Linked DNA regions of Coturnix japonica. The protein of the gene in region 1 interacts with the protein of each later gene in a pairwise test. Links are inferred from orthologs where the notes say so. Each region holds a gene or a part of one and is shown on either strand. Other genes may lie near its edges.

What was found. The genes of interacting proteins can lie anywhere in the genome.
Region 2: the proteins of FAM168A (region 1) and UBASH3B interact in binary tests that used the Homo sapiens proteins (3 or more experiments, as listed by UniProt). The two-hybrid records come from large-scale screens. The link is inferred for Coturnix japonica from reciprocal best matches to the Homo sapiens genes FAM168A and UBASH3B.

What each region holds. Positions count from the first base shown.
Region 1 is NC_029516.1:174,975,222-174,978,721, forward strand, and holds part of FAM168A (protein FAM168A), read right to left. Parts: intron 3,476-3,500; coding exon 3,333-3,475; intron 1,264-3,332; coding exon 1,089-1,263; intron 118-1,088; coding exon 5-117; 3' UTR 1-4.
Region 2 is NC_029539.1:2,677,940-2,682,007, reverse strand, and holds the start of UBASH3B (ubiquitin-associated and SH3 domain-containing protein B), read left to right. Parts: upstream 1-1,268; 5' UTR 1,269-1,459; coding exon 1,460-1,623; intron 1,624-4,068. UniProt on the Homo sapiens protein: Interferes with CBL-mediated down-regulation and degradation of receptor-type tyrosine kinases. Promotes accumulation of activated target receptors, such as T-cell receptors and EGFR, on the cell surface.

The DNA.
Region 1 (3,500 bases):
GGGTTTACCAGTGCGGCGGTACGTAGCTGTAGGTGGGGGTTCCTTGAGCCCGGTACGTTGGCACGGAAACTGGATGTGCTCCGATGGCAGTGTGTTGTGGGGTGGTCAACAAGGTTCCTGCAGCAACAGCGAGGAGAAAGGCTTGGCGTGAAAGTATCACAGCATGGGGGGAGGTGAGAAGGGATATCGCTAACCTAGCACCACGTCAAAGAGGCTTTGGAGAGCCCCAAGGAGCAGACCCCAGAGAGCCCTGGGGCACATCAGGAGCATCCCCTCCTCTATGAGCCATGACAAGCTGGGGATTCCAAGTGAGATTGTGCACGGTGCCTTCAGCAGACTCAAAAAGGGAGAATACGATCTCAAATGTTTCTGCTCTAAGAGTAATGGGGTGCTTGGAACTTTAGGGCATCCTGAATGCATTAATTACATCTGCCCACTTCTCAGTGCAAGCAACAGTAGTAAATATCTCAGAGTGGTTCTTGTGAGGCACAGGCTGCAATCCCTCCGTATAACAGGGAGTCAACAGAGCCCTATTTCTCAGCTAATGCAGATGCAAATGGGTGAACAATGCCTTTCTTTGCATAATTCAGCACACAGTGCTATGAATTGTTTTCTGGAGAACCTCTGAGGAGAGAAATACAGGCTTTGGAAAAAAATAAAACAGCCCACAGCCTGGCTCAGTGACTTAATGTGTCTTCAGTTAATCATGTTTTACGAGGACTGAAATTACCCCATGCATGCAACACACAGGATTTGAGAGTGATGTGTAAACCAAGGTTAATACTTGTTTCATTAAGTGTGTGCTGCAGGATGGTAAGTATCTTAACAAAGAGCTCGAGAGTAGAAATGCAGCCATGGCTGGAGAAGGGTGAGCTTGGCTGTTGCTTTATTTGTGGAACAGAGTGCAAAAGTGAATCCCTCTAGGGCACAACAAATGGAAGAGCTCCTCTGCAGCCCTACGGCCTTGAGTGGTATCAGCATGAAGTGCAAACTAATTGATATCTGCCTGTGTGGGTTGCTTGGGTTTGTCCCATCCAAGAGCTGAACCCACTGCTCTGGATCTGTGGGGCCAAAGAGGAGCCTCTTACCTGCTGACATGGCCATGGTGGTGCCAGCGACCATCCCCATGGCCACGCCGTTGGTGCGGGGCGCAGCGACAGGGGCCGGGTAGATGGCCGAGGGGATGCTGTTGGGCTGAACCACGGTGGTGTGATGGATAACGTGAGGCTGTGCCGCGTACACTGGCTGGGTATAATAAGCTCCCTGTTTGAGAAAGGGAAAACACCACCGGCTTTGTCATCCCACAGAAAGCCCACGTCCCGAGCATGTATCGGCACGGCTGGTCCCAATGGATGGAGCACACACAGCTGGGAAAGAAACCCCCAATCCACATTTTTTCCCATTCTCTAGAAGTTCTTCCAGCCTCCACCCCTTTCCAAGTTCCTCCCAGGACAATTTCAAACAGAAGGATTTATTTATTCCTCCAGAGGGAATGGCAATAAGCACTGGAATGGGGTCCCCAGGGAGGTGGTTGAGTCACCACCCCTGAATGCATTTAAGATCCATTTATGATCCATTTATTATTAAGATCCATTGGATGTGGTGCTCAGGGACACGACTTAGTGGAGGGTTTCTAGGGCAGGATGGTTGGGTTGCAGTTGGACTTGATGATCTTTAAGGTCTTTTCCAACCTGAGCAATTCCATGATTCTATATGGATTCATATGATCATGGGTAGGGGGCATGGCGGTGATGGGTCAATGGTTGGACTTGATGGACTTAGCAGTCTTTCCCAACCTTAACAATCCCATGGTTCCATAAAACACTGCATGGTTTGATGGGATGAAATGGGGCCAAGTCCAAAGTATGTTGGCTGCTGGCATGCAAAATGAGCAAGAGAACTAAGGGAAGGAGGAACTGTGGCCCCATCTGATCCCAAAGGGCCTGCCTCGGCGCGGGAAGCGGGCAGACAAAAGGGAGCACCAGCTCCTCAGGTTTCCAAAAGGAGACAGAGGGGTTCTGAAATCCGGGCTACTGAGAGCCGAGGGAGCTGGAAACAAGGGGGAGAAAAGAAAGGAGCCAACAGAGAAAGCCCCACATCCCATGTAACGGTGATCCCGAAACGTGAGCAGTGCAGTGCTGCAAGAACAGGGAAGGTCGGAGGGATCAGAGGGCTGAGAACAATGAGGGGAGATCTTATTGCAGTCTGGGACAGGCATGGGAGAAGCCCTTCAGGTATGGATGAAGGGGGGAAAGGAGAAACGGATGAACTATCATATTACTTCTTCCTTTCAGGGTGGATTGTAGACACACTGCATTACATTGAGGAAGGGAAGAACTTGCCAAGAGAGATGTGGAAGGGGACAGAAATCAGCCTGATACCCTTCTGGTAGAGCAGAGCATGGAGCAGCTGATAGCCTTCCTGGGATTCAGCTGCATGCCCAGCCCAGGATCAGGACAGCACACAACCTTCCATGGGCAAATAGTGGTGGTGGGTGGTTGTCTGGGCTGGAAGATCTTGGGAGGTATTTTCCAACCTTGGTGACTCTATGATCCTGATTCAGCCTTCTCCTGCCTGTACTCATCTCAGCAGCCAGCATCTTCCTTGCAAAATGCCTGAGCTTGACACCAGGCTCCACTGTTCCGACACAGCAAGGGTCACCCTGCAGGATTAAGTCCCAATGGCAGCAAAGAGCTGCTGGCAAAGCTGCCTCCATCTTTTGTGCCAGGTGATGGGGAGCATGTCAGGAACCAGCAGAGAGCACCTGAGCACACTTCTGACCCTGATAGCTTCCCCTGTGCTCAGCTAATGGAAGGAAAGTGGACAAAATGGGGCAGAGGAGATGCTCTGAATGCAACCTGGCATGGAGAAACCAGGTCACTGCTGCAAGAGAAGTCCTATTAGCCATTAAAGTGGAAGGAAAAAAAAAGAAAAGCCAGGAAAGCTGCAGGGCCAGAGTGCTGCAAGGAGCTCATTATCTCCTACAGGAAGAGGCAGCAAGGAGATTTTTGGAGGACACCTGTCCAACATGGGGTCTTGGCTCTGGTGCATGGCTGGAGGCAGAAAGCAATGCTGGAGCACAGAAGATGGCGCTGGGAGCCCAGCCAGGAGCTCAAGGACACAAATCTGGGCCATGCTGGTGAAGGTGACAAAGGGGGCTGTGCCATAGGAAGCAGGAGAGCAAGGCCCATGGGATGCCACCGGGATGGGGACCACAAGCTCATGTATGGCATTGACACCCGAGCCCCAGTGTTCACATGTGGGATTTGGGGAGGAAAGAGCCCAAGGGGACGTATCAGGTGGTGGTGGGAGATGCAGAGTGAGGCACGTACCTGGGTGTACAGGTTCTGCTGTGGGTAGGCACTTCTGATGGGGTACATAGCAGTTTGGTATGGATTCGGAGACGGAGAGTAGGGAGGAGGCGCGTTGTTGCTCTGGGTCGGTGGGACCTTGTAGGGAGTCCCCGCAGTGTACCCTGGTGAAGAAAGCAGAGGTTTGTA
Region 2 (4,068 bases), on another chromosome or scaffold:
ATCATCCCCTAAGAATGCATCTTCCTGGAGGTAAAGGGACCATGTGTGAGTTTCAAGGAGGAAGCATTATTTCAAGGAATACATTCCAATGCAAAAAGCCTCACCTTGATCCAATGCAGAGGCACTCACCAAGGTTGCAAAGACCTGAGGCTGCTCCAGCAGGCCTGAAAAGCCATTCCATGCAGGTATGCAGCTTAGGAACTTCAACACTGCATTATATGGATTTCTTAATTGAATCTGGAGCAGCCAGAGGAAAGGGATTCTCATCTGGGCAAAGTCCTTGGAAGCTGCATCCATAACAAATTGCATTTCTGTTCTTACTTCCTGACTGACTAATACAGATGGAGCAAAAAAAGCACACAGAAGTGAGGCACGTTGACTTAAGTCAAAACACAGCAACCCTCTCCTCCCTCATAGGTTCTGATGGTGTGAATTCCTGGATATTGTTCAGATTCTGGAAGGTTTTGGGAAGGTGTGAAGGCTGGGTCAGTACCTCACCTCTGGATAACAGCAGGAAAGAAGGTGCTTCATTGATACAACAAACCAGCAATGATAGGGATAGGTTTGTCACTGCCAACACTGCTTCCTGCTCCAGCATAAATTGTTGCACTTGAAAGAACAGCATCTTCACTGCTTTTATTTGTGTGCAGGGCTGTGTGCTCTCAATGCTCCCTGCCTTCCTGGGTGCTCAGCAGGGTGGACCTGTCTGCCTTCAGATGGAGGAACTGGGGCAGGGGGGGATGTGGAAGAAAGGCAAAGGAGAGGTGAGAGGAGGAGGAGGAGGAGGATAACTCTTGAAGCTCTCCAAGGGGGAATTCCGAAGCCACATACTGCGTGTGATGGCCTGGAGAGGGCCGTGGAGGATGCAGAAACCCAGGATGGTGATAGAAAATTCGGAGCGCAACTCTGTTGCCTCTAACTAGATCTGCTTCAAAGCTCCGTGCTCTCACAGCTCATCCAGCGGCACAGAGACCTGGAACCCCACAGCCCCAGAGTTCCGAGATCACCCAACCTCCCCCATGTGCTGCCTCTTCCCGGAGGAAAGAGGAGCATCGCGCAGAGCTCTTTCCTCCGGGAAAATAAAGAAAGAAATAAACAAATAAGAAAACAAAAATAATAGTGCCCACCTTCCCCGCTTTCCACAAGGCAACCGGCGCTCTTCCAGCAACCCAGAGAACCCCTCCACCCCCTTTCCTCCTCCTCCTCCCCCCTCTTCCATCCCTTAGCGGAGCCCGCGGCGCCGGGCGGCGGCTTTAAGAGCGGGGGCGGGCTGAGCGGGGCCGCGGTGCGGGCATTCGGCTCCCCGAGCTCCGGAGCGGCCGCCGGGTGCGCACGTGTGGCCCCGGGGCCGCGGAGCAGCGCGGAGCGGAGGAGGGCGCAGCCCCTCGGCCCTGCCCCGACCGCGGCCCCTGTTGGGGCGCTGCGGTGTGCATGGCCCTGCGAGGCCGGCGATGGCTGCATGATGGCCCAGCGCGGGCAGCCCGCACCGCACGCCATGGCTGCCAAAGAGGAGCTGTACAGCAAAGTCATCCCCCGGCGGAACCGGCAGCACCGAGCGGGGACCATCAAACACGGCTCGTCGCTGGAGATCCTGCTGTCAATGGGTTTCCCCAAAGCTCGGGCGTAAGTCTCCGCGAGGCTCCTTTCCCCCCCCCCCCTTTTCGTTTTTCCCCGTCGCGGAGATGCGCGCTCGGAGCCGGGCTGGGGGCTGCGCACAACCGGGGCTCTCGGGGCCCTCTTGGGCGGGGATGCTGCGGCCGAGCGGAGCCGTGGGGCCGCTGCGGATCCTGGAGGGTGGCGGAGGGGGAGCGGAGGGTCCCGGGCGCAGGTGGGCTCCAGCGCCGCTGTAAGATCGGGGTCACAGCGGAGCGATGCTTCGGTCCCCCCTGGCTGAATGCAGAGCCCGTTCCTGCGCTCTGAGCGCTGCCTGGGCACCGTGCGTTACACACAAGAAGGGAAGGAGATAGAGAAGATGTCAGTAGTGCGAAGTGGAAGGGTTTTCTGGTCTAATATAGTGATGTCCCGCTCTAATTTTCCTGCTCGTGCTTTAAATGAATGAGGCAGCAACGTAATGATAGCTTAACTATCCTGGTTTAAATATAGTGACTCCTAAAGTGGGACTGTGAGTTAGGAGGGAAATGAGATGGGGTGGGGGGGATTTGGATGTTTCCTTGATCTGCTTAAGTTTCCCTGTTGCTGCTGATGCCAGTCAGAAGTCATTGGGTTTTATTCAGACATCCCTGTGTGGTTTTTGTCCATAAATACAGAGACACACACACTCAGTCCTAAGGACAAATGTCAGGCTGCTGTGGACCTGCTGGCACAGCCATCAAGTCCCGTGCGTGCTTTCCATTGTCCTACTTATGCTCCTTCTGCCTGTCAGTGATCTGCAGTCATGTACGGAAAACCAACGTGTACGGCACTTACAGACAATGCCTGCAAATGAAGATAGTACGAAAGTGGTGACTTCATGCTCTGTGCTTGTTGGGAAAAACAGATGTGCAGCTTCCAGAGTAGCTGGAGAGAGAAGGAGGTTGAGTGTGAATGGAAGTGGCTGTTACCTGTGCAACAGTGCCGTCACAGCTGGCAGGCAGCCCTGGTTGCACCTCACTGCGTGCTGAGGAGCTCTGTGTATGGTTTATACTCCTGCCTAAGGAAACTCCAATATTTGATAAAAATGAAACCAAAGCTTCATGTGTATAGAATAGGAAAGGTTAAACACGGAATGCAAAGCAGAGAGAGGGGAGAAATATCCCCTGCTGCAAGGAATGCTCATTGGAAATGCCACCAGGCAGCGGGGTAGATTGTCTGGATACTAAATCCAGGATACTGTGCTGTAACCCTGCTGGACAACGTGCCTGTCTGCTGGGACGGGTCTGCTTTCCCCATCTGAAGGAGCTCGCAGTGCCCTGTTCCAGCCTGCTGGAAATCCTGCAAATAATTCATCTCTGAAGTTCACATAAGTAGCAAAACAGAAATAACAGCAGACAACCTGGCTCTGACACCGAGGGTGAGCTCAGAAGGGTGAGAAGGGCAACAAGGAAGCAGGACCTGCCCCAAGGGGCTCTGCTGCCTTCTAACTCCTGCCACATCGCTGTGCTGTGTAAATGCAGGAGATAGCCAAGTTGCTAAGGAGGCAAAACACCATCTCCCCCAGAGACACGGCGGCATAACAGCCTTAGCAGAGAGCCCTGGTGAGTCTTGGCCCAAAGTTCTCCTGCCCATTCTGCATCCCAAAGCTGGGATAACGGCAGGCAGTGGGGAGCTGGGTGAAGCAGGGCTGCAGCCAGGCTGGCACTGTACAGGGGTGACCATCTGCTCCAAAGCCTTGTGACAACAGAGCTCCGAGCTGTCTGACTCGTCTGCCAGGCATGATGCTGAGGGCCATCACTGCTGGCAGCAGCCGGGCTCCTGGCACCTCCCTGGGCTGCATGGCACAGCTGGGCCAGGGGATGTGCTTGGAGATGGCATGAGTGCTGCTTTCAGGTGACACCTGGTATTGAGAGCGTGCTGAGACACTGCCCAGCATCCACTCTTCCTATCCCTCAGCTTCCAATTCCAGCAATTTCAGGTACTTCCTACCACAGGTCAGAAAGAGACCTCAAGGTTTCCCTACTCTGTCCATCTCTTTTCCTCCTTCCCAGCAGCAGCTGCAGTTCAGCTGAGCTGCTGTGAGCTACAGTGCGGTGCAATGCAAACTGGGGGCATCACCTCTGGATGGCAGTTGCTGAAACCACTGCACTACATCAGCATTTCGGGCTGTTGCTGTGAGAGCTATTTGTTGGGCTTTTCCTCTGAGCACAGGTTCATTATTTTTTCATTTTGTAATTAGCCCATTACATTACGTACTGTTAAGTCACAAAGGAGACCGTCCTGATCTCAAATAGTTCCTGACTGAAGCCAGGAAGGAGGGCAGAGGTGATGTTATCATTGCCATTTTGCAACTTGGGCACTCAGGCAAACATTCTACCCAAGGTTACACACCAGTCCAAGCAGATCCTCAGCGTCTCAAGACCCTCAACACAACCACATCTTCTTCTAGAAAGGGATTTCACATGGCTGTCGTTT